Nothobranchius furzeri: one gene and its partners. The protein of the gene in region 3 interacts with the protein of the main gene of each other region in a biochemical or structural test. Links are inferred from orthologs where the notes say so. Each region holds a gene or a part of one and is shown on either strand. Other genes may lie near its edges.

Region 1 (6,448 bases), on a different chromosome or scaffold from region 3:
AAACCTAAAGCCAGAAATAAAACGAGCATTAAACCCCTCGAGACCCAAAATAAAACATATGTGGTAAAACATCATTCTGGGATTTTAAAAAGCTATTTTAGTTCTAAAATATAAAACACAAAAACTCTAAATATTCAGAATATTTAATAAAAATGCATTTAATTGTCTTCATTTCCCACATTTACTGCTGAATCTGATCTGAGAATCAGGAATTAAATGAATTACCGCTAAACCATCAGGAATTAACTAAATAAAGAACACGAAGCACTTCCTCCACGTTCCAAGGCTTAGCTATAACAGATGTTTTAATTCCGCTCCGTTCGCCTAAAGGAGGAGGTGGAGTTGGGTAAAAGGAAGCCGTGGGAATGGAAATGTAAGGAACACTTACTAGGAAGATTGGCTTCAAGTTCTGCAACTTCTGTTGAGACAAAAACAGAAAAATGAGTCAGAATAAAGCAGAAAAGCAGGTAAACACTGAGAAGGTGTTGTTTAGAACGGCGGGTCGCGAACCGTGTCTGATGTTTGCGGTCAGCGTGAAACAGGAAACGGCGTGGTGAGACGAGGGTTTTGGTTTCTGAAGTATTCTGAATCCTATTGTTTCTAAACCGCTTCGACTCGGAGAGATTTCTCCGTTAGAAGCCCGGTTCCACTGGGTGGTTTGGGGATTGTTCCGGCTCGATTAGAAATGTCTGTTCCTGTTCGTATAAATGCAACAACGCAGCCAATTAGAAGCGGGGAAACCTCGGTGGAGTTTTTATGGGTTTTTATTCACCTGCACAATAAATTCTGTAGGAAGCTTCAGCTAATTAGCAACTTCCAATCAGAGAAGACTGAGACAAACCATCAGCTAACAGAATGAACTGAATAGCACGAAGGCCGGAGTGAGAAAAAAGTCTTAATGGGTGCGAGCACAAAGAAACTAATGATTGTACTTTCCTTCGTCAGACAAAGACACAAGAAGCTTGTCTCTGATTGGCTAACAGCAACACGACTACCACTGACTGTCTGCTCTGCAACGCTGATGATTTATCTCCACCAATAACACAAGCCTGGAGGAGTTCTGCTGTGTGGTGGAGTTGCTAATGCTAACGGTTAGCTTCTACTAACCGAGACGTTCTCTGCTGTTTCCTGGACTAAACCAACAACAGCCTTCCCCGTCGTGAGTCCAGATGGGTGAGTCCATGAATGTTAGTGACAGTGTGACGTAAATCTGTCAGGATTTTCTAGAGTTTCACCATCTGTTTTCTATCAGAAGCTAATGCAGGAGGTAGGTGTAGGAGACTATTTTCATGTTCAGCCTGCATGAAAAACTCATTACTATTAGAATCAGAGACAATCATTAGTAATGGTTCAGTGTTCCACGCCTACAAATCCTTCAGAGTGGAACGAGACGATAAGGAGATACTGGTACCTTTGGTCAGGAGGCGGTCCCTGATGGAGACCCTGTGGGTGGAGTCTGAGGCTCCAGAGGCACGGCTTGCTTTCCCTCCATCCTCCTTCTTCAACTTGCTAGCCAATGTAAGCATGGCTACGCTGCTGAGACACGCCTCTCTCTGCCCCGAGCCTCACCGCCTGTCCAACGTCTGCCAGTGACACAGATCCACATCTTCATTTTATCAGAATAGATAAACAAACAAACAGAGAAACAACAAAGTGTCTGTTTGTATGTGAGAAAGTTGGTTTGAATGTTCCGCTCAGAGCCGGCCGGGAGGGAACAGAGGTGTGAGAAAACGCTGAATAAGAGCCGCTTCGCTTTGAAACTAATCTGCTGAAAGTTTCCACCAAGAGGAGTGATTGTGTCTGTGACTCATCGTGTTGGTCACCAGCATCAAAGAGCACCTGGAGTGGGAATAAATGCATAAACTCAGATTACACTAAACAGGTGGAGCGGCTCGGTCTAATGCAGAATCAGACGTTTCCTGTTCAACGGTGTCATGTTTTCTATTTGATGTTTAAACAAGAAAAACTGAAAACACTTCAGAAGGAAAAACAATGCAGTGATTATTTTGGACATTTTTCTCTCTGAGTCTCTAAAGTGTTACCAGCTGGTTTTCAACTTTTTAGTCCAAACCACCAAAACAGTCCTTGGGTGTGACTCAGCGACACGCTGCTGTGACGTTTTAAACCGAACTGTAATCCTGTTGAAGTCAGACAGGGTTTCTGACACCACAACATGATGACTTCAGCAAACAAAGATGAACTTTATGTTTCACTTATGATGCCATAGCAAAGTCAAGCCCCCTGAGCCTCATCAGGAAAGGTCACGGCTAGTCTCTGGATGTAAACAAACAAATGGGTCCATTTGTGCTTTCAGATGAGTGGAAAACAAAACTAAAATGTTTGGGACAATTTGAGCCAAAGCAAGAAAAGTTGGAGCCAAGTTTGCTTTAGGCCCAAATATCATTTATAATCTTTATATTATAACTGATGTCCTGACTCCACCTGTATTAGTGCAACAAACCCAGGTAAAAAGAGGTTTCCTGTAACGTCTCCACTCTGTAAAACCCAGTTTGTGCACTGGGTGAGCTCACTCAGAGGGGGAGTGATGGTGTCGTGTGTCGCCGAGCCCGACTCGACACACACCTGCCCCAGCTGTCAGTCACCTCATATGTCTGTACGGCAACATCATCACAGCAGAGCTCACAAAGTCAGCGGCAAAACAAACGCAACAACACTTTAATCGCCGCACTACGGTAGTGCTTGTACACCAAACTTTTAACAAGGTCTTGTACAATAGATGTTTTGTTTTTAGAAAACCTGAAAGACTCTTTAGGCTTTCCCTTAAACCTACCCAACAATCTTTTCTTTGTATCATTTCAAGCCACTTTCACCTGTACGTTTAATAAAAGTGATGAAGTAAGAAAGATGCATCTGTTTGTTAACCTATCAATCACAGACCTCGTTATAAATGGTCTCAAGATATTGTCGCCCAGAGGTCAATCAAAGGGAAAAGAAAGACAGGCAGCCCTAATCAGATAATACCTAAAAGAGTCTTAACATTCAACGAAGTGTCATGCAGTTCTAGTTTTATGCTTCAATAAATAAATACATATATATACACACACACTCAATTTAGAGCTTGAGTCTGAGCATAACATCAGCGGGGAGTACTCATTATTTATGAAAATAAATTGTTTTGTCAAAGAAAAAGTCTGAAGACTAATTTTCTAAAGTATAAGGTGAACTTCTCTGTCTATTTTGCTCTGGATGCTTGATCATTAGTATACTAATTTATTTCCATAAAAACTGATCATAAAGCTAAAAATAGTGCATGCCATTTGTTTTGTCCTTATTTTTCAGGCCTGTTTGTGGTCAGACGTCTGACCTGCTACAGCTTTAACAGTGAGTCTAGCCTATTAATCACAAATTAATGCTCACTTCCCTCATTTCGTCTCATCTAGGTGGCCTGCCTTTCACACACGAATCCAGTCAACGTGACAACAGAGGAATCCTAACAAACAACCCAAGTCTTCTTAAAGGCGCTGAAACCAGCTGATTTAGAGCGACAACTTAAGATTTCACCTTCTTCCTCCTCCTCTTTGGTCGGGTTACCATAACAACACCTCGCTAATGTTGCTAATAAAAGCTACGTAGACGTTTCCAGACAGATCGCTCAACACCAGGTTTCTGCTCACAAGCACAAATGACACGGCTCCTTTCTGACGGCTGAACTTTTCACACCAGGAGCCGCTTGTGTGTTCTTTGTGTGTTACCTTCTGTCTCCCAGCTAGCTCTTCGTGCTAAACCATAATCAGCGGCTCTGCGAGCTCAAGCTGCCGCCAGCAGCACCACACCTGGCGGGTAGCAGACGCGTCCTCCTCTCAAAGGATCCAAAACTAGTTATTACCGATTCTACAACAGACTGGGAACTGATTTGGGAATCAGCTGACAGAAACTTCGCTCCGGTGGCAAACGGAAGCGCAATGGAGCAGTGCCCTGTTATTTGCTTCCGTGTGGACACACGGTAATGATAAATAGTTCCGCGCTGCTTGGTGGACGGTTATAAACATTTTAATAACCGTTAATATTATAATTATCATTAGTATTATTGTTATTGTTACTATTACTAATACTACTTATAATAATAATAATAATTTTTATTTTATTATTATTTTTATAATGATGATGAAGATAATAATAATTGTTATTGTTAGTAGTAGTAGTAGTAGTAGTAGTAGTAGTAGTAGTAGTAGTAGTAGTAGTATTTGTAATGATGTGGTTGGAGGAAAATGTCCACCTTTACAAATAATTATGAACCTGTAAAGATTTAATATTTCATTGTGATTATTGACCCAGTGAGAGTTGGACTCTGCCAGTTCATCCAGTTAAAATCCTTTACCTCAGAACCCTCCCCAGTCAAGTCAGGTGTGCCCCAGGGCTCTGTCCTGGGGCCCCTCCTCTTCATAGTATATCTCCTCCCTATCGGCAAAATCTTCCGCAAATTCAATATCCAGTTTCACTGCTTTGCAGATGACACCCAGCTCTACATTTCCAGTAAGCCCAACTCAACTCTCCCTCCATCCTCCCTTACACTCTGCCTCTCTGAAATCAAATCATGGTTCACCTCTAATTTCCTCAAACTCAACGGCAATAAAACTGAACTTCTTCTTGTTGGCACTAACTCCACCCCCTCAACATCTGACAGCTTTTCTTTAACTATTGACAGCGCCACAGTCTCCCCCTCACCTCACGTCAAGAGTCTGGGTGTCATTCTCGACAGCTCACTTTCTTTTCAGGCTCACATTAATAACATAATTCGGTCAGCATACTTCCATCTACGTTCCATAAACCGTCTCCGTCCCTCACTGACCCCTCACACTGCCGCCATTCTCGTCCACAGCCTCGTCACCTCCCGTATCGACTATTGCAATTCACTTCTTTATGGTCTTCCCAACAAACTCCTTCATAAACTTCAACTGGTCCAGAATTCAGCAGCCCGTATTATCACCAGAACCCCTTCCTTTCACCACATCACGCCGGTTCTCCAGCAGCTTCACTGGCTCCCAGTTAAATTCAGGTCCATCTTCAAAATTCTCCTCCATACCTTCAAAGCAATCCACAACCTCTCTCCTCCATATATCTCAGACCTTATAAGTATTCACACCCCGTCCCGTTCACTCAGGTCTTCTTCTTCCATCCATCTTGTGGTTCCTTCTGCCCGTCTCGCTACCATGGGGAGCAGAGCTTTCAGCCGCTCTGCTCCTCGACTCTGGAACTCACTTCCCCCAGACATCAGGAACGTCGACAGTTTTACCCTTTTCAAAACAAAACTCAAAACACACATGTTTAAATCTGCCTACAACCTCTGATTTTATTGAAATGTTTCTCTCTGTTTTTTTCTTCTTTGGGTTTTATTATTGTTTTATTGTATTTTATTACATGTTTTGTGTAAAGTGACCTTGGGTGTCCTGAAAGGCGCTTTTAAATAAAATGTATTATTATTATTATTATTATAAGGCTGCCCTTTGTCACCGATTCTGTTCATAACCTTTATGGACAGGATTTCTAGATGTAGCCAAGGTGAGGAGGGCATCCGTTTTGGTGGCCTGAGGATCAGGTCTGTTTTTTGCAGATGATGTGAGAGAGAGGATTATAAGACACCTTTCGTCAAACATTTTGACAGGTCTATTGTTCTTTGACCTTTCATTCCTATTGTTCATTTGACCCTTGACCTTGCCCCCCCTTCCTATCATTAATCAAATGGACAGGTGTATTGTTCAATCTTTGCCCCCCCTTCCGTATCATTAATCAAATGGACATGTGTATTGTTGATCGTCCAGATGGTTTAGACCCCCCACGCCGCATCATCAATGGCGTATTGTTGAACGTGTCCAGATGGTCTAGACCCCCCACGCCGCATCATCAATGGCGTATTGTTGAGCGTCCATGATATCCCACGTCATAGGCTAATGTGTGTAATGGTGTGTGGTTTCTTTTTTGTGATAGCCCATCGGTTCCCACAGCCCCTCCCTTCTGAGTGTAATCCTATTGTGTTTAACTCTTTAAAAGCTCAGATCTGTCCGAATGGTGAAAAGCCGAGCTCTAAGAAAAAAATGGCTCACTGACAGTGGATGAGTGCGGCCTAACTGTTGTGAATGACAGCCCCACACACTGTCAAGTACCTATGAAATGGTTGTACGTTTCCTCAAAGTTAAAGAATCTGTTTTTGTAGTAGCAGACAAGATGGTATGGTCTGCTAGCTCTTGAGTGAGTGGCAGAAGCTGAAGTCAATGCATGAACTTTTGCAGCCTTTTGCTGAACACACACAAACTCTTCAGAGTGACACATTTGTCTATGTCATTAATACTCTCTTTGAGATGTTCACGTTGGATTTCGTATGTTCAGTCTTAAATTTTGTGTTTAAATGTGTTATTTACATGCAGCTCACTGACACTTTTTGACCAGAACTAAAACTATTGTGTAAAACTCTCTGTCCAGCAGCACATCA
Region 2 (6,470 bases), on a different chromosome or scaffold from region 3:
GATGGAAGTTCTAGGTAGGTCCAGCTGGCTAGGGAGTAGTCAGCTTGCTGTTGGGAGGAGTTGACTTCTGGAAGGTCAAAGGTCGCAGCTTCCTTTGAATTTGCACAACTGGCCAGTGAGATACATCCAGGTCTGCTGGCGAGATGTTGCACGTCTGAGAGGTTTCTCTGATGGGAGTTTTGCAAAGAAGGATGGTTCCTTATGCTACTGACCCAGTTGGCCTAACAGGACAGCGTGCTAGAACTGAAGAATCCAGGAAGTAAATTGTCTTTTATAAAACGGGTTCTTTACAAAGTTAGACAAACCAGTATGTAGAACGTCTTCAGACACCACTTCGTTCCTGCAACACTTAGAGGCTCATTACACTTAACATGAAGTAAATCTGTTATACAGTCATTATCAATATAGTAATATTATGTGAATATACTGATAATAAATCATTAAATTCAACAAGTAGAATCATGTGGTGTTTTTAAGATCTGAAATAAAACATTTCCAGAATAAACATTTATGTTGATTCATTCATTACTGTGATGCTGTCAGTATTATTGACTGTAAAGATAGGAAATTATTTTATGAAAGAGTGTTGAATTAAGAACTTTATTGACACAACAATGTAAACAAACATAAAAATATTATACAAACAAAACAGACGGAAGAAGAAAAGCTGGGACTGCTTCACTTCTGGAAGGTAGCGTGCAGGTGAGCTTTGAAGGCTAGAGAGAGAAAAAAAACAGTCAGAACTACAGCTCCCAAAATCGTTTGCTGCATGTACAGAGCTCACAAACTGGTCTGAGGTCAGTTCTACATCTGTATCATCTGCAGGTCATTTAGTTCACTCCAGGAGAAAACAGGCTCAGCTCAGTTTAAAAGGACAGCTGTCTGATTGGCTGCAGAGGAGGTTGAACCCAGCAGATGTTTAAAATGAAAAGGAATAAAGTCACAAAAGGAGTCCAAAAAGGTTTCAAATGAAGGCAACTGGACTTCTCTGGCTTCTTGAAGACGTTTTGCTTCTCCTTTGAGGAGCTTTGTCAATTCTGACTGGAATCTGTTATTTAACGAGCCGAAACTACTCTGAGTACCCCTCCTCTCTACCCACTGAGTCGTTGGCCTCTATAGACAATAGGCAGCTACAGCTTATAAGCTTGACTCTCCCATTTCCAGTTAGAACTGACAAAGCTCCTCGGATGAGAAGCGAAACGTCTTCAAACCAAAGAAGTCCAGTCACTTTCATTTGAATCCTTTTGGGTTACCATGACCTGGATGACAGAACCTTCACCAGCAAAGTCACAAAAGAGAACTGCTCAAAAGTACCCAAACACCGATTGTATTAGTAGCTGGCCGTTCTCTGGGTTCTGCTGGCTGCCTGAAAGGTTGTGGGTGTACTTACCACCTTGGTTGCTCCACAGTTCTGCTGCGGTCGTGTTCAGAGGACTCTCGTTGTTTGGTTCTGGGGAATACAGAAGGAATTGTGTGCTGCTCTCTGAGCTGTGCAAAGATGGCTCTGATGGATCCATCAGGTTTTAGCAGACAGCAAACTGGTGGTTCCGGTTACCTCCCAGTAGACTCTGGATGGACAGCAGGATAGAACGAACATCGTACAGTGCCGACCACTTGTCCTTCAGGATGTCGAGACAGATGAAGCCCTGATCGTCCACATTGGGATGGAAACACGGAGTGACGAACTTTACCCGAGGAGCATGGTACGGATACCCAGCTGGAAACTCCAGAGACAGACGGTACCGGAGGCCTTCGTACACCTGGGCACACAGGTAAGAGTGTCGGGTGAATCAGAGCAGCAAGTGGAGGGGTCAAGTTTTAGATCGTGCTGTATTTATGTGGTCATACTGTTCCTTGGGCTCCATCGATGGTTCCGACCCATTTGAAGAGATTATCCGATTCTGGAAAAGCAGAGATGCCCTTATCACCCGACATCTACAGGAGGGAGGAACGCACAGGTCACATGACCTCAGAAATATCAGGTTTTGTTGATTTTACTAATGTCAGGTATGTTGGTATTGATGCTCCTGTGTGAATGATCAGACCAGAGAAATCAATCACAGAAACAAACAAATCATTGATAAGTGTCTGGATGAGAACGGAGCAGCTGACCTGCAGATGACTAACGCCACCTGTGCACTTCAAGCTAAACACTCATCCTAACCAGCACCAACTCTGCATTAGTGTTGAGGCAGGAGATCGTGTGACTATGGGTGCATCAATCAATGAGTAAACACCACCACCCAATGAGGATGAACTTGTGCAGGTCATCAGGTTCGTTAACATTCTGACTAACAACTGTCCTGTGACCCGTTAGGATCGTCCATCTTTCATTTTGTTATTGAAACCAAAATAAAACTATAGATGTGAACTTACCATGAGAGTCATCAGCTCCTGCTGCAACCTACACACACACACACACACACACATACGAATTAAACAAGTGCAACACAGGTCCAGAAATAAGCTGCAGTAATAAGATCAATAACAGAACAATTTGTTTCACAAATAAAAAAAATTCAAGCACCTGATCAGTTAACAACTCAAACTTTCCTGTTTCATAAAATTCATTTTTGTGATGAATAAAACCAGGAGAGATCAGATTTCTTCAGTTTTAGGATCACTTCATTAGCTAAAATATCCAGAATTGAGTTTCAATTTTATTTCCAAATCTGAAGGATCACGCTTTTTCGATTAATGATGCTCTTGTTCCAGATGTTCCCAGCAGAACACTTGGCTCTCAGGCTGCTTTTTACTTGTGGCTTCAACTTTCCAGCGGTCCTAAAAGTAGTAAGGAGGCAGAACTTCCAGTTCTCAGGCTCCTCTGGTGGAACCAGCTTCATGTTTCCACCACATCAAGCAGAAGCACCTTTGCGTAGACTCTAGGTTAGTTTAGATTATCCTGGCACATCTCTAGTTATGCAGCTGCAGGCTCACATTGCTGGAGAACTCACTGGGTTATTGATATTTTATTGTCCAAAGAAGAACCAAGTCCAGCAGAAACGTAGACCGACAGATGGCGTTTCATGTGTGTTATATATCTCCAACTAAAGTTTAGAGCAAAACATTCACTCCCACTCAGAATTAACTGCTTCTACGGAGCCGCTGGTTCTGAACAACATCACACACACACACACACACACACACACACACACACACACCACCTTAGTTCCATCAGTACACAGTGTTTAAGTTATTCTTGTTTAAATTGTGTAGAAGTACATTTCTTTAACTATTTTAAACCTGACTCTCTCTCTTTCCTTGGAGTTAGTACAAAGTGTTGCTTAATCCCTGCAATAAAAAGTTCCGATCTTCTGAACAAAGATCCATCAGATTGATATTTCATATTTCTATGGAATCTCACATTTTATGGTTCAGAAGTAAGATGTAAACGACCCATTCTTTACACCTGTAAGGTTCCGGTTCTGTAACGGCCCGGAACTCACCGTTTGGTCACCGAGCCTCTGGTCGCGTTGCCACTGCTTTCGCTGCCTTTCAGAGCGGCCGTGGAGGAAGCTGCAGCCGCGGCGGGGTCCATATTCTGGGAGGCCATGAATGCTGCTAGTCCGACTCCTGCCGAGGACACAGATATAACATCAGACGGACTGAGCAGGGGAGGCAGGCCGAACCGAGCCGATCAAATCCAACCGAGCGGGCCGTAGCTTCTGTAGCTAACAGCAGCTACATGCTAACTCCCGGAGATTTCAGAGAAAACGCTGAGCCGTGCCTCGTGGTACCGGTCAGAACCACTGGCTCTTTGTCTTCATGCTAACACATGATTACATTTATAGCCATACTATAGCTGATTTAAACACTCACCGGTGTTCAGTTCGTGGTGGAAGGCTGGATTCTCTAGATTCAAACCGATTCTTCTGCCGCCCCCAGTTTAAAACGACGTTTCCTCACAAACAGCCAATCAGTGTCTGACTTTCAAAAAATGAACTACCCTCATCGAACCAATGAGAAGATGGTGATTAAAAAGCTACACTGTAATTGGCCAGTAGAATCAGCCAGAACCCGCCCCCACCATCTAGGCGTTCACACAGCGGAAGTCATTGGTTCAATTTGTTATTTTAAACGCGTTTTTTAAATAAATGAACTTAAAATCTAAGTTATTAAACACATTTTTGTTTACCCCTCCTCCTACAGGGATGTATAAAATCTCCTAGAAGAGTCAAGAGCCTAAATCAAGTTAAATGATGGATCACAAAAATTGGAGCTTGGGAGGATGAGTACACCTGCAGAGGGTCAGAGGGGAATATATATATATATATATATATATATATATATATATATATATATATATATATATATATATATATATATATATATATATATATATATATATATATATAATGAAGTGGCTGATATCAAGAAATCCTACCAAGAACTAGAAAGAGCTGGTCTGAAGAATAGCACAGAGGCACTCATCATGGCTGCACAGGAACAGGCCCTGAACATCTACCACACCAGACAAGACCCAAGGTGTAGAACCCTGAGACAATCCACCACATAACTGCAGGGTGTAAGATGCTGGGAAGGAAAGCATACAAGGAACGCCACAACCAAGCTGCTGGCATAGTGTACAGGAACGTCTGTGCAGAGCATGGACTGGAAGCCCCAAGGTCAAAGTGGGTAACACCCCCTAAGGTGGTTGAGAACAAGAGCCAAGCTCTTGTGGGACTTCCAGATCCAAACTGATAAAATGGTGATGGAGAACCATCCGGACATTGTGTTGGAGGACAAACAACAGAGGACAGCTGTTGTGGTTGATATAGCGATACAAAGTGATGTAACCTCAGGAAAAAGGAGCATGAGAAACTACCTGGGCCTCAAAGAAGAACTTGAGAAAGCCTGGAGAATGAAGACATCGGTGGTGCTCATGGGCATCAGGGCAGTAACCCCCAGACTGGAGGAATCCCAGGAAAACCATCTCAGTCCAGAAAAGTGCAGCTCTAGGAACAGCTAAGATACTGCAGAACCCTCAAGCTCCCAGGCCTCTGGTAGAGGACCCAAGCTTGGATGAGACCACCCGCGGAGGGTGAGATGGGAATTGTGTGTGTGTGTGTAAGCCCATGTTTATTTTTTCAAAGCAACAATAATACCACAAACCATAAATACAAAGTGAACAAGAAAATGAAAGTTTTTTGTTGTTGCAACCAAATCCCATTAATTAGGAAAAACAGGTTTTTAAACTAGAATACAAGAACAAAATCACAAAGGTAAAAAATAAAATAATTTTTCTCTATTTAATTCAAGGATTAAAACTTAACATTTCAAGTATTTTTGTGAATTTTCTTTGAAAGGTTAAAAATGATGTCATGACAATATTTTTCTTTTTAAAGCATTTTATCACCATATTCTCTCACAATGCCCCTCAGACCTATCTGGAACGTTTTAGGACTTTGTAGCACCTTCACCGTATTATTTAGAATTAAACTGCATCATTTCACAGATCCCATAATTATTTGAGTCACTGGCGCACGGCCCCACCTGAATCTGAACAAAAACACAAACAGAAGTTTTCAATTAAAGTTTATTGTTTAGTGCAAATAATAAAAAAAGTTTCCAAACTCGTCACATTTTCATTTTCACAAAGTTCAGTCAGCTTAACGACTCAAACCACTCACCTGTCTGGGTCAGCTGGTGGACGGAGCTTCACTCAACACATCTGCATTCCATCTGGTCAGCTGATTTTCTGTCTCTGGATCAGTGAACCAATCACAGTCCACAACCTACAGCAGCCAGTCCTCAGAGACCGATGAGCGTAGGTCTCCATCATCTGTTACCGTGATGACAGAGCTCGGTATCGGTCACATCCAAAAGAGGAATGCAGCTCCATTTGTCCAAAACCAGTGACCTCTCACGGACCACTGAGCAGGACCTAGGTCCGAGTTCAGCCTATAGAGTTCTGATATGGTTCTGATCCACTTTGCTCCAACTGCAGCTGGATGACCCGTTTGAGTTCTGCTGCTCTCATCTGGTCTACAGTGCATAGAAACCAAAGGAATTCAACAAACAAAACAAAAAAACACATGACTCAGAAATGCAGCAGCAGAACATCACCTGACCCCTGATCTTTGACCCCTGACCTGCTCCAGCTGCTTCATCTCTGAGCTCAGCCTTGATTTATTTTCAGGAGATAAGATTTTGTTTAATCAACAGTTCAGCAGCTTGTTTCATCCAGAAACCTCCAGCGAAGTTGTCTTTTCATCCCTTTGTTTCCCATCTCTTCGGTGAAATGTTTGTTTTTTAGTCTCTGATCCGAGATCGGCTTCCGGGTCGATGGGACTTGCGTTAGTCAGACAAAGTTTCCACTCAGCTGATTTCTGCTTCCTTGTGATACACAGAACAACTCACCACAGCTTCAGCTTTAAATCAGATAAAGATGAATCCTCTGAGCTCCTCACCTGTCCTTTCAGGTCACAGGTGAGACTCCAGTTGAAATTAGTCTGCTAGTTCAGTTTTTA
Region 3 (5,389 bases):
AGCATTTGGCAGGGGTTTTTCTCAGCCTCATCCCAGGTGCCGGTGCCCACTTCCAATTTTAAACTGAGGGCTGTGGGTGCAAGTGGGGTGGTGTGGTGGCATAGGCCATGGAATACACCTCATCAACACTCACTAACACCATATTGGCTTCCTGGGGCTGGAGGCTAGGAGGGAGATCTGGCCGTCCGGTTGGGGTCTGGGGTGGTGGGTTGCTGTGCTCAGCATTAGGCGGGGGAGCCTGCTCATCAGCACCCCAGCAGAAAGGGTCGATCTCTTGGAACCGGTAATGGTTGTACCCCATGTGCAGCAGTACCGGGACCAGAGTGAATAGGGTGTGTATGGGGAGCATGAGTGGGTGTCCGGCGTGCATTTTTGTACGTATTTGGTTGTATGTGTATGTGTGAGCATGAGGGAGGGAGTGTGTGACTGTGTTTGTGTATGACTGTATATGTCAGGTGGGGCCTTTGACTCCTCCCTTCTCCTGGGACTTCTTTTGATTATATAGATCTTCGTCTCCCCTCTCCCTGCCACACTTGGTGTGGAGTATGGTGCCTTGGTCTGCCTGGGTCGTGGCTCCTGGGTCAGGGGGTTTAAGATTTTTGGCATCTGCCTGACCAATCCCAGTGGCTGCCTGGTGGGGTCTGGGTCCCTGGGTCCCCGGCGGGGGTGGTCGCCCCTGGGTCCCGGGCTCGGCTGGCTAGGGGGTGGAAGGCTGCGGGCGGGCCTGTGGGCTTGCCGCCGATACCTCCCGGGACTCTGCCGGCTGCTGGTTGTGGCCCCCCGGGGCGATCCTCTGCGTCTCTCGAGGGGAGCGGGGGCTTTTCTGGTCGCAGCCTCCCTGGAGTTCCTGTGCTCTGGGGCAGCTCCTGGATCTCTGGGACTTGGAGCTCCCTCTGTCTCCTGCATATATTTAGGGGGCAGATCTGTGGCCCCTCACACTCTCTATTGGATGCTCCTATAGAGAAACCTTACATAAACAAGTGCGTGTACACACACAGGTGCTCACCTGGTGCTCTCATAAGTATGGACTTGGGCACGTTCAACACATGTCTTAAGGCCATGGTGGGCACTTAATGCACTGTGATTTATTATCGTGTGATTGTTCAGTTAAACAATGATGAATATTCATTTCTTCATCAAGTTGACGCAGTGATAACTGGATCTTGTTGTATTGTTGTCCCATTTTTATTTTTTTGTTTTTTTTTCCTTCTCTCTTTCTGCAGGTCTAGAAGCAGACTCTTGTTCATTATTGTTTAATTTTTGTAAGTACATTTCTTCTAAAGTGTGTGTGTGTGTGTGTTTAAAAATGGCTGAAAGCCTATGGAGATGCATCAAGCCACAGGCTTATCTAGCTATGATCTTTTCTAACCAGCTATAACGGTCGTTGGTTAATTTGGATCTAACTTCTTCTGCTAGTAAAGAAAAATCCTGTTTTCAATTTAAAATGATTTTTGTTTATTTGCCCTTCAAGTTACAGAAGGTTGAAGCAGCCGTCCAGTCATTAGCCTCATGTTACCCTGGTAATAGTGTTCCCTGTAAATTTCCCAAGAGGACAAAAAGAACAAGGACTAATTTCTACTAATAATTTTATTTTACAACTGTATTCAACGTTAGCCTATTATCTACATCTTCTAAGCTCAGAAGCAGCTGCTTGACATGGGGAGTCTGCCATTTTCCACAGTGCCAGCTGTTTGGCAACCAGTAATGGTGCCCTTTATTGGCTGGTAGATGTAAACATGAACCCAGTGTTGTGCCTTTAAATAACTATTTGATGTTAGGTATGTACTGCCCTCTATCACCAGGGAAAATACTTAAAGGTGCATTATGTTTAAATGAAGTAAAAATTACTTCCTGTGGTTAAATTTGGTTACTGCAACCACATTAAACAACTCTGGAGCTTTTTGCCAGCAGTCGTCAAACTACAATTGTGGGCGCTGCAGTATTAGCTCGCAAGAGACACAATCCCACACTCACTTATTCTTAAACAGTAGGTATGTCCTTCCTTCCTTTGTTTTGGAAGAAGAAAAACTGACAATTCCCACAGCCAGCTGGATACGAAATATGTTTCAGTATAATCTTCCTTCCAAAAAGACTGAAACATTAGACTCTTTAGGTCTTACTATATTCTTACATACTGCACCTTTAATATTAAAATAATTTCAGCCCCCTAACATATTTTTTCAAGGAACAATAGGTTTGATGGAAAATCTGACATTGTTTAAATTATTTCCTGTAATTTTGTATCTTGACGAGGTTAACCTCAAGGTGGTTGTACATGCGACCACAGATTCATGGTAGTCATGGTAACAAGGTTATGCACTTGCACCAATGTTATTTGCCGCTTATGCGCTATACAGCATTTTTGTATTTAAAAAATGTTATTTAAGAACATCTGGTTACTCATACATCATGAAAATTTCCATCATAAAATTAAGCGTCATTTTAAAACAGTTATTTGTATTTAACTCAGATCATCTTTGATGTTGAAATAAACATTTGGGTGTGTTTTACAGATCTGAATAAATGTAAGACTTAATGTAAGAAAATGTAGATTTAGGGCTTAATTTTTGGTGCTCCATGTCATCACTGGTGATGATCTCACCTATCCCTGCAGACCCACTTAAAGTACAAGTATAGTAGTACTACATGCATCATCATTTCCAACACCAATACATAGTCACATCTATTTCACAAACCATTTATTTTTTATAAAGAAACCACACATTTAAGATGTGCCAAAAACTACACAAAGCTAACAGGTGACACTTAAATACATTTCACTTGTCTCTTCTCGGCTCCAGATCCCTTCAGCGACCAATCTGTGCAACTTTAACCATGTCCGTTTTCCTCCTTTGACACCAGGAAACATGCAACCAGAAGGAAGAGGACAGCACAGGACGTAGCTGGGATCATTGATAATTTCCTCTCACCACCTTTGGGTGCACAAATGTACAGTCCACATAGATGTGAAGCTCATTTGCCGATTCTCTGAACCACCCAGTCCTGCTGACAGAGCGGACAGCGGTTGTTCTGCTTCACCCAAAGCGACATGCAGCAGTTATGAAAGGAATGGTTGCACTCTCCCCACACAACTGAGAGAAAGAAAACACACAAGTGACTAAAACAGCGTTATGTTCTACAAAGGGCATTTGTATTTATGCTAAACATGGGACACCTAAAGCTTTTTTTATAAACAGCCTCTCTTGGACATCTTTCTCAGTGAAAGTGGCAGATGATCATGTTTGTGCAGCAGTAATGTGTGTTCCATTAGTCTGATGTTAGAAATAGGTGTGTCTGCACGCTGCAGTGAAGTGCTTGTAGTATTAATAAGATTCTGCAACAACATACAAATGTTTTAATATAGTTAATAATGCTGTAGCTCCCATATAAACGTGTACATGTTCTGCTTTGGTCCTGCACCTCACATAAACATGTCATTTTAAAATGGATTTTAAAAACGTGCATTCAAACATTTTAGCATGTATATGGTCAGACCATATAGCCATACCTCACTGCTTTAGCAGGCAGGTTTGTTTGGTTTCAGATATATTATTTAGCTAACGCTAGTTGGGTGACTTGTTAACTGTTTGTGTTTCGCCCTAAACAATAAACACATGACGTGTCTTACCAACACAGTCCTCTTGTTTATTTTCCGCCTGACATCGGAGACATGCGTCTGCAAAACAAGAAAACCCCGTTACAGGCTTTTAGTTGTATAGCCAGATTAGCTTCACCTGTTGTCCTCATACTCACCCATCACTTGAACCCGACAAATGGCACAAGTGTCGCACTCAACGTCCCAGCTCCACATAGCCACCGCATTCCACTTCTTCAGGGAAAACATCTTGTCGCCACCCGACTTGGAGCTCGAAGAGGTGCTGTGAGAAAGGACTAAGCCCGGCTCGTCACCGTCGCCCATCTCTGCCCACTGTTAGCTTTGCAAAGCTAAACAAAATGGAAGTGATGCTAGCGCTAATGCTAATTGAGTTAGCGTGCTAATACATTTGGACAGCAGAGGGCGCTGTTTATCAACTTGAGGTTTCTGAAAGGGTGACCCCGGGTTTCCACGGGAGCCGTCCGTATATGTACAGTCTATGGAGCCGTCGAGTAGCCCCTGGCTGCATCCCGGAGATCGGGGCGGGGCTAAATGTGGGCGGGGTTAAACGTTTAGAGGTGGGTGGAGACAACTATTTGACTCCTGCCCCTCTCTCAATGGAACCAGGAAACTGCGAGTAGCCCCTTTCTAAGGATTAGAAAGCCCTAAAAACCCACAAAACCAGTGGCGGATCTAGGATTTTTCTGAGGGTGGGGCCATCAAGGGGCCACAATATTTATAGAGGGGCCACGTACAGTCCAACATACTTGCATACTATTCCCAGTTTTGTATGGTAGATACAGTTTACCCCAACACCATGTTGAAAAACATCAATGCAATTGTACATCAATTTTTACTGTACATTGACAAAATACAACCACACACAGCATTTGAGAAATTTTAGCATTCAATTTATTTTACAAAGCCACAAATATCAGGTTAAAATATGTTTGTGTGTGGAAAAAACACCAGAAGAATATCACAGGACCCTCTGCTCTTGACTGGGAAATGTCTGGTGGGAAGTCAATTAAATAAGTCTGAGTCAGTTGCTTATATCTCTCAACCTTTAACATTCATGGCATTCAGAATCTGCAAGTGACTGACTGCAAAATTCAATTAAATTTAAAGAGCCTTTACAAAATGAGAAGCACACCACCAGGTCCTACTGGAACAGAACACCGTTCTGATGTCTGCGCAGGATTCTGTGCATCACACTGGAAGATGTCTGAAAACAGCAAATGAGAAATTATCTAACATAAGCCAAATACATACACAAGCATTTATTACTTTCAAAGATCAATGTTTACCATTTGATTCTGCAGGATTAGCATTGATTGGTGACTCTGGTGGCCCAGCAGGATGGAAGGTTGAGTCATTAACTTCACTCTGGTTGTCTGAATTGGAGAGAGTCTTGTCCAAGTTTGCAGCTAAAATACAAATATATGTCAAACTCCAGCTAAATCCAGCCAAAAATTTGTTTTCTATGAGACCACATTTTTATTTATTTGAAATTGAAGACTTGAAAGATTGGACTATAAAGATGAGATGTGGTAAATGTAGACAAAGAAACCAATACAATTTAAATCCATTATGTTAATGTTATAGTAAATCACATCACCATGAAGCGGAAGAATTCAGTAAACATATGTGCCATTAGTACAAGATAACATCATTTAACAAATTTGAGATAATGGTGATTTTTTTTTTTTACCTAGAATAATGGCAGGAAAAGTTGGACTAACAAAGGAATATCCAAAACACAAAATCTCTTTAGAAAACTTAACCTTGACCTTA
Region 4 (6,327 bases), on a different chromosome or scaffold from region 3:
GCATATTGGATTATGGTTCCTGTAGAAGCTGTGAACTGACACTGAAGACCACCGAAAGAGGAAAGGAGTTGCTCGTCTCAATTGTTTTGTCGCGTATAATTTTATCCTGAGTAATTCAATATGATGTCCCAATTAAAGTAAATAAAACAATAATGCTTACTGAAGACAAAATTACACATAGGACATCCACACACTCTAAAAACAAAATCAAAACCACTCTTACAAAAAAATAAATCAATAAAGGGGGCTAACATTTCATTTTCAGTTGTAGGGCTGAAGAAGTTTGATCTCGGTAGTACACACCGACACAAGACTACCTATTCCAGTGCATGCCGAACATCTAACAAAGAAAAACTAAAATCATAGGGCCTGCAAGAAAGCAAAAAGAGAAACATCTGGCAAAGCGTATTAAAATTTAATTTACACTCTGCTTTAGTTCTTCGGGTCCATCAGGCGGCTCAGAGAGCAACGCTGAGGAGAAATACAATTCTAATCAATAATTAGTTCTGCCCCTCTAACCTTCAACAACTTGATTATTACACAACTTTAATAACAAGTTCATTCAAAAAAACACAACCCCACACTGAGTGACAGAAAAACACATCCAAGATAAAAACCCAGCAGAGATCAATTTCATGTTTTAGTAAGAATGTTCATATGAGGAGCTGACTCAGCAGACTCCAGCAGACGGGACGGCCCTCCATTGCCACGAGTCTCTCATGACGTTGGGAAACAGTCCACCAATTTAAAAAATAAAAATAAAAAGACAAAAAGCTTTCAAAGAAGTTCTGGCATGCATGAGAACTTTGAACATACTGTCCATGAAAACTCCTCCATGTCCTGCCAATCAAAGACAGAAACTGTAAAATATGGGACACTTGCAGTCCTTTGTCCATCTTGAAGTCTGTAAAAGTTTCCACCACGAGGCGGACAACCAGTGAGACACCCCCAGTTACAATTAGAGAAATACAGCTATGCAAAACAGGTGAAGTGATGGTTTAAGAGTTTGCACCAGTTCAGTGATCATGAAACCCAACCAAAAATATTTCATACTAAAACCAGGACTGGATTTTGTGAGCAAAGTAAGCTTCAGTGTGATGAAAAGTTCTCGAAGTTGGAAAAAAAAATTGGTGGCTGTGCTGGTGCAAAAGTGACCACAGTCTGACCCTCTCGCAACGAGGCATCAGTTTTAACCTCTGAGGCTGAAGGAAAAAAGCTCTTGTACTGATTTAGAAGGAAGCTTCCAATCTCTCTTGGTTGCAAACCAAGAATATCTGGCAACCCAGGAAGAGTTAAAGGATGAGCATTCGTCAGCTAGGTTGGGTTTTCTGACAACAAGAATGTCACGACTCCTCATTGCCCGAGTCATCCTCGTCATAGCAACAGTCGCCGTCTCCCCCCTCCACGTCATCGTCTTCATAGTAATAGTCATAGAAGAGGTCAGAGCCTTCGTCTGGCGGCGGGGCGCGTGTACGAACGCAGTATTCAGCTAGCGTGGTGGGCACCTTCACGCCATCTCGCTCTGCTTCTGCCTTTGTGGCCAGCACCTGTTTCCTGAAGGGATTTGTTTTATGAAGACTGAATTACTTTTGTGTGGATGGTGTGGCTTTGAAAATCTTTTAGAAATATTTGAGGTTTGTCTTAAATAACATTACACTAATGTTTACCTGATGATCTCTACATATTCCCGGTCCTTGCCTTTGCTGTCTCTCCATTTCCGGTACATGACAGAGGCGTCCACGTTGGCAGGGGAGAAGGTGTTGGGTTCATTTAGCAGCGAGATCACGCTCAGCAAAATGGTCCTAGAAGCAAAAAACAAAGGCAACTTAGTATAGAACCATAAGAAAACGACTTTAGGTGAATTAAAAAGTTTTAAACACATAAAAAATATTTTAATGTCACAAGCCTAAATTACTTATTTCATCTACTATTTTATTAGAATAAACAATGAAGCACATATTACATTAGGAACTTAAAGCTAATTGATAAAACATGTATTAAAAAAACCTGTCAGACCCATGTGCTACCACCCTACCAGAATCAGAATCAGAATAGGTTTATTGCCATTTTCAGTGAACAAACAATTCACAAACTAGGAACTTGCTTCGGCACTAATGTGCTACATATAACATGAATAATAAGATTAAAAATAGAATAAAATAGAATAAAATATAATAATTAAAAAAACTAGAATAAAACTTTCAGCTAAAATGGCAGGTAATGGTAACATGGCCGATAACGTGACGTTGTGTCGAGTACAGAAGACCAGCATGGTTGTGTGTTTATAATCTATTCACAAGTCTAACGGCAGATGGAAAGAAGCTGTTCTTATGGCAGGAGGTTCTGGTCCGGATGGACCGTAACCTCCTGCCTGAGGGAAGCGGCTCAAAAAGTCTGTGACCCGGGTGCGAAGGGTCAGCTGTTATCCGGCCTGCACGCCCCCGAGTTCTGGAGACGTACAGGTCCTGGAGAGATGGAGGGCTGCAGCCAATCACCTTCTCAGCAGAGCGCACAATGCGCACTGACAAGCCTTTACATTACATTTATAAAACGTAGCATTGTGAGTAAGGTTTTAGTGAGTCGTTATGGGAAACAGAAAGAAGCTGCTTCTGTTTGTGGCCAAAGGAACAGCCTTTGTGACAGACTTCCTGATCTACAGATCTAATGTGTCTGCAGCAAAAATGCAAATGAGGAAATTAGGTTAGGTTAACGGTATACCACCTGCAACAACAAAAACATAAGAGCTGCACTGCATCAAGTGACCGAAACCACCAGAGCTTACATCTTTGTAACACTGCTGAAGTTGTGTGATTTCGACTACTACAGATCACAGGTTTAATATCACTTGTGAGTGTGACATCGTTGTGGTGGCTTTTACATAGATAGTTTCTTGTTGAATAGAAATCTGGCTCTCAGTTACAGAAAAAGATCAAAGATACATTTTTTTGTGCACAGATTGCATAATGTGAGCCTGACAAATAACCTCAGAAGGAAGTTTATAATAAATAAAGATGCATTTTCTCCCTCTTCTGCAGCAAAATGCTGTCAAACTCATGCGATACACTTATTGTGAGTCACAATGAATTAAGGTACTCAAAGTATGTTTTTCATAGAAATAAACCAACAAAATCTTAGTTTGCATAGTATGATATTATCCAAAGATCAATTTAATTTTGTTTGTAAATAAGAGGAAGATGCAGATCTAGCTTTACTGCTGGCTGCTGCAGCCGGTGAAGAAGATGCTGCTGATAATGAATGTCATAAGATAAGAGTCTGCGCTGGGTGAACCATTGAAGTGATTGCAAAGTGGACAAAGATGGAAGGAGACCAGAAAGGAGAAACGTATAGAGAGAATATGATTAGAAAGAGAAATGCTAACCGAACATTCTGGGTTGGATTCCATCTCTCTGATGGGAGCTCTCCGCTCTGCGGGTCATCCACTGGAGGGTGCAGTATAGAAATACACACATCTCCATTCTACAAGAGGGGAAACAAATACATTCCATCATCAGATGCATTCATTCAAATTAAATACACTGTTATGAGTACACACACGTCAATATTTAACCTCATAGATGTTGGGATGCCACATTTTGGTTAGGAAGCGGAAAGCAGGAGGGGAGTAAGGATAATCTGTAGGAAACTTGATCCTTGCCTAGGGGGGAAAATGGGGACATCTTGTTATTTTTTAAACTACGGTCATTTCTTATATGTCATCTGATTTTAATTACAACCTTACCTTGAAATATCCCCCTTCATAATGAGTGTTTGGTGGACCAAAAATGGCGACTTCCCAGTTGTATAAATCAGCCTCGTCCACCAGAGTGATTTTAAATCCCTCCACAGGCTCTTCCTGGAGGCTCTTCATTTCCAACATGAGAGCTTTCTGCGAACTAGCTACATGAGAAGGGTCGTGTTGCGCCATAATGATTTATGAAGCTTTCAGGATTATCTGGAGGCGACAGCTTTTGTTTACACGGCTAAGCTAGCCAAGCCAGCAAACAGCACAACTTCTCCTTTTTCGATGTTCGGAGGCAAAGAAAACAGGCCGACCGCGCGTAAAAGCAAAACAAAGACTGCGGTTGGTCTGTTCCCAAATTAAACGTTATTAATGTCAAAACTCAGTAATGTTATAAACGAGAAACACATTGTGTCTGAGAGGCTCAACAGCTTTGGCTGATTTACCTGGCAGAGCAGCAGCTGATATAAGCCTTAAATCTACTGTTAGCTAAGGAAAGCTAACAAGCTCCGTCTAATTGACCAGCTGGAGCGACGTAATTACCGCAAAAACACAAAATAACTACATAAAATGGCAATTTGAAAAGACAAACGCAAAAAGTCATGTGACACTACGCCAAACTATACCTCCAGTAACCATAATTGTTTAGCCCTCATAGAAAGCTGCGAAAGGAAATGTGTTGCTGAAAGAGTCCCCTGGTAAAAACAGGTAATGGCGCCCTGTTGTTGGCTGGGACTGGTAGTCTTTCATTCCGCGTTTGTTAGATTAAAAAAACGTGAAACCAAAATAACTGAAAACCCTGGTATAATATAATTCCTGTTCTTTTTATTTATGATGTTTTTATTTTTATTTTAAATGCCCAAAAAGAAAAATAAGTTTGTTTGTGCTTGCATTTTCCTGTTAAACTGTTTAAATACGGTAGCGGTTACTATGGACGAAATATCTATGACATCAATAATAGTATTTTATCACCGACATAACTAAATTGTAAGAAAAACAATCCTGCGTTCATTTGTGGCTAATTTGTAGTTTATTAAGTGGCTGTGACGTTTTAATCTGCGCCAGTGCTCAGGAAAGCCCATTTAGGCTAGCTTTTCTTTGCCTTACTAAATACATTTGGATTTTTTATAAAAGAAATCTGACACGTAATTTTTTCTGTCATAGCACACGTTAGAGTATGCGAACATTAAACATAGACATATGTTTTTATTAGTGCGATTGTAAACGTTATTATAATCAACAGTGTTTCGTCAATGCCTCCTATTTACGCGACAGACTGCATTTAGGGCCCCGAAAAGAAGAAAGTTCGTGATGGGTTCGAAAACACGGCGTAGGTCTCGTTCCAGGTCCATAAGTCGGGGCAGAGATCACCGAAACAAGTCCAGAGTAAACAGGTCGCGATCTCCAGATGAGAGGAGAGGTCGCAACAGGTCTCCGAGCCCGAAAAGGACCACACTGGGTCGAGGCAGATCCAGCAGCGAGGCTTCGAGCGATGGCTCTCGGGCCCGACCTCAACATAGGGGCCGATCAGGGTCCAGGAGTGAATCGGAGGGGGACAGATGTCGAAGAGCGCCGCGCCACAGCAGCAAATCAAAGGATCGTGCATCGAGGTAATTTTAACACAATATGTTACAGTACGATAAAAGGTTGTGTCTGTTAGTTAAGCTTCACTCGTCCAACTTGAGATTCACACATTAACTTGTTTTTGACTCACGCAGCGCAAAAAATGAAGAAAGTCGCCACAGTCAAAATATATTTTTGTTTGTGATCTATTATTCAGAATAGAGAGTCGCTTGAGATTGGCAGATTTTCATCATCTTTCCTCCAATAAGTCATATTTATAGGTGGTGGGTGGGTGTAACCCACAGGTGGTTATTGCGACAGGTGTTTTTAAACACTATATTTACAGTAAATGTCTGCATGTAACTGTTTAGAAGCAGGTTGAAACGAATTTTACTTTGATTAATTATAAAAACCGTTGTAATCCAATAGATCATTAAACACTCCTAGATTATATATAGAATAGGTGTTAAACACTGTAAAAGGCTTATAAAATGATCTCTTGATACTAGTCATAATTTATGCGTTTATATTCATTTAATTTTCACACTAAATTCTATTTTTGTCTCAGTCCTGATTCAGATAATTCCAAGATGAGAAGGAGAAGGAAAGAGATGGAGAAACGCAGCAGTAGATCCCACGAGAGAAGAAGGGGAAGGTCCCAGTCTGCCTCTGATTCAAGTGATGCAAGCAGAGAAAGAGAAAGGAGGAGGAGAAGAAACAGTCCAGTCAGAGACAGACAGATGAGGGAGCGGTGGAGAAGCAACAGCAGAGACAGAGAAAGGACAAAAGACAGGGACGAAAGCTGGACGAGAAGGAAGAGCAAGGAGAGGGAAAGGGGGAGGAGTAAGAGGAGCAGAGATAGGGCTGATGGGAACAGAGGGAGGCAAAGCCCCAGTTCTTCCGAGTCATCTGAGAGTTCAGGGTCAGATTGCGAGAGCCGAGCAATCAAAGAGAAAACTGAGAGGAAGAACAAGAGGGAGATGATGAAAGCACTGGAGACGCCAGAGGAGAAGAGAGCCAGAAGG

Evidence for each region.
Region 1: the proteins of rnf7 (region 3) and ube2f form a complex in vitro, tested with the Homo sapiens proteins (10 studies listed by BioGRID, with this or other methods). The link is inferred for Nothobranchius furzeri from reciprocal best matches to the Homo sapiens genes RNF7 and UBE2F.
Region 2: the proteins of rnf7 (region 3) and ube2c form a complex in vitro, tested with the Homo sapiens proteins (4 studies listed by BioGRID). The link is inferred for Nothobranchius furzeri from reciprocal best matches to the Homo sapiens genes RNF7 and UBE2C.
Region 4: the proteins of rnf7 (region 3) and cdc34b form a complex in vitro, tested with the Homo sapiens proteins (5 studies listed by BioGRID). The link is inferred for Nothobranchius furzeri from reciprocal best matches to the Homo sapiens genes RNF7 and CDC34.

The regions. Positions count from the first base shown.
Region 1 is NC_091754.1:2,839,203-2,845,650, reverse strand, and holds the start of ube2f (NEDD8-conjugating enzyme UBE2F), read right to left. Parts: upstream 3,926-6,448; 5' UTR 3,714-3,925; intron 1,607-3,713; exon of another isoform or gene 1,584-1,606; 5' UTR 1,527-1,583; coding exon 1,412-1,526; intron 419-1,411; coding exon 389-418; intron 1-388. UniProt on the Homo sapiens protein: Accepts the ubiquitin-like protein NEDD8 from the UBA3-NAE1 E1 complex and catalyzes its covalent attachment to other proteins. Together with the E3 ubiquitin ligase RNF7/RBX2, specifically neddylates cullin-5 (CUL5).
Region 2 is NC_091743.1:77,061,280-77,067,749, forward strand, and holds ube2c (ubiquitin-conjugating enzyme E2 C), read right to left. Parts: upstream 3,926-6,470; 5' UTR 3,820-3,925; intron 3,574-3,819; 5' UTR 3,554-3,573; coding exon 3,447-3,553; intron 2,405-3,446; coding exon 2,377-2,404; intron 1,936-2,376; coding exon 1,849-1,935; intron 1,761-1,848; coding exon 1,556-1,760; intron 1,451-1,555; coding exon 1,391-1,450; intron 717-1,390; coding exon 679-716; 3' UTR 587-678; downstream 1-586. UniProt on the Homo sapiens protein: Accepts ubiquitin from the E1 complex and catalyzes its covalent attachment to other proteins. In vitro catalyzes 'Lys-11'- and 'Lys-48'-linked polyubiquitination.
Region 3 is NC_091753.1:33,214,055-33,219,443, reverse strand, and holds rnf7 (RING-box protein 2), read right to left. Parts: upstream 4,146-5,389; 5' UTR 3,920-4,145; coding exon 3,754-3,919; intron 3,677-3,753; coding exon 3,629-3,676; intron 3,093-3,628; coding exon 2,974-3,092; 3' UTR 2,685-2,973; downstream 1-2,684. UniProt on the Homo sapiens protein: Catalytic component of multiple cullin-5-RING E3 ubiquitin-protein ligase complexes (ECS complexes), which mediate the ubiquitination and subsequent proteasomal degradation of target proteins.
Region 4 is NC_091751.1:57,907,435-57,913,761, reverse strand, and holds the start of cdc34b (cell division cycle 34 homolog (S. cerevisiae) b), read right to left. Parts: upstream 3,926-6,327; coding exon 3,740-3,925; intron 3,656-3,739; coding exon 3,569-3,655; intron 3,478-3,568; coding exon 3,380-3,477; intron 1,803-3,379; coding exon 1,668-1,802; intron 1,555-1,667; coding exon 1,344-1,554; 3' UTR 1-1,343. Other genes in the region: splicing factor Cactin, read left to right, coding at 5,051-5,349, 5,871-6,327. UniProt on the Homo sapiens protein: E2 ubiquitin-conjugating enzyme that accepts ubiquitin from an E1 ubiquitin-activating protein, and catalyzes its covalent attachment to other proteins by an E3 ubiquitin-protein ligase complex. In vitro catalyzes 'Lys-48'-linked polyubiquitination.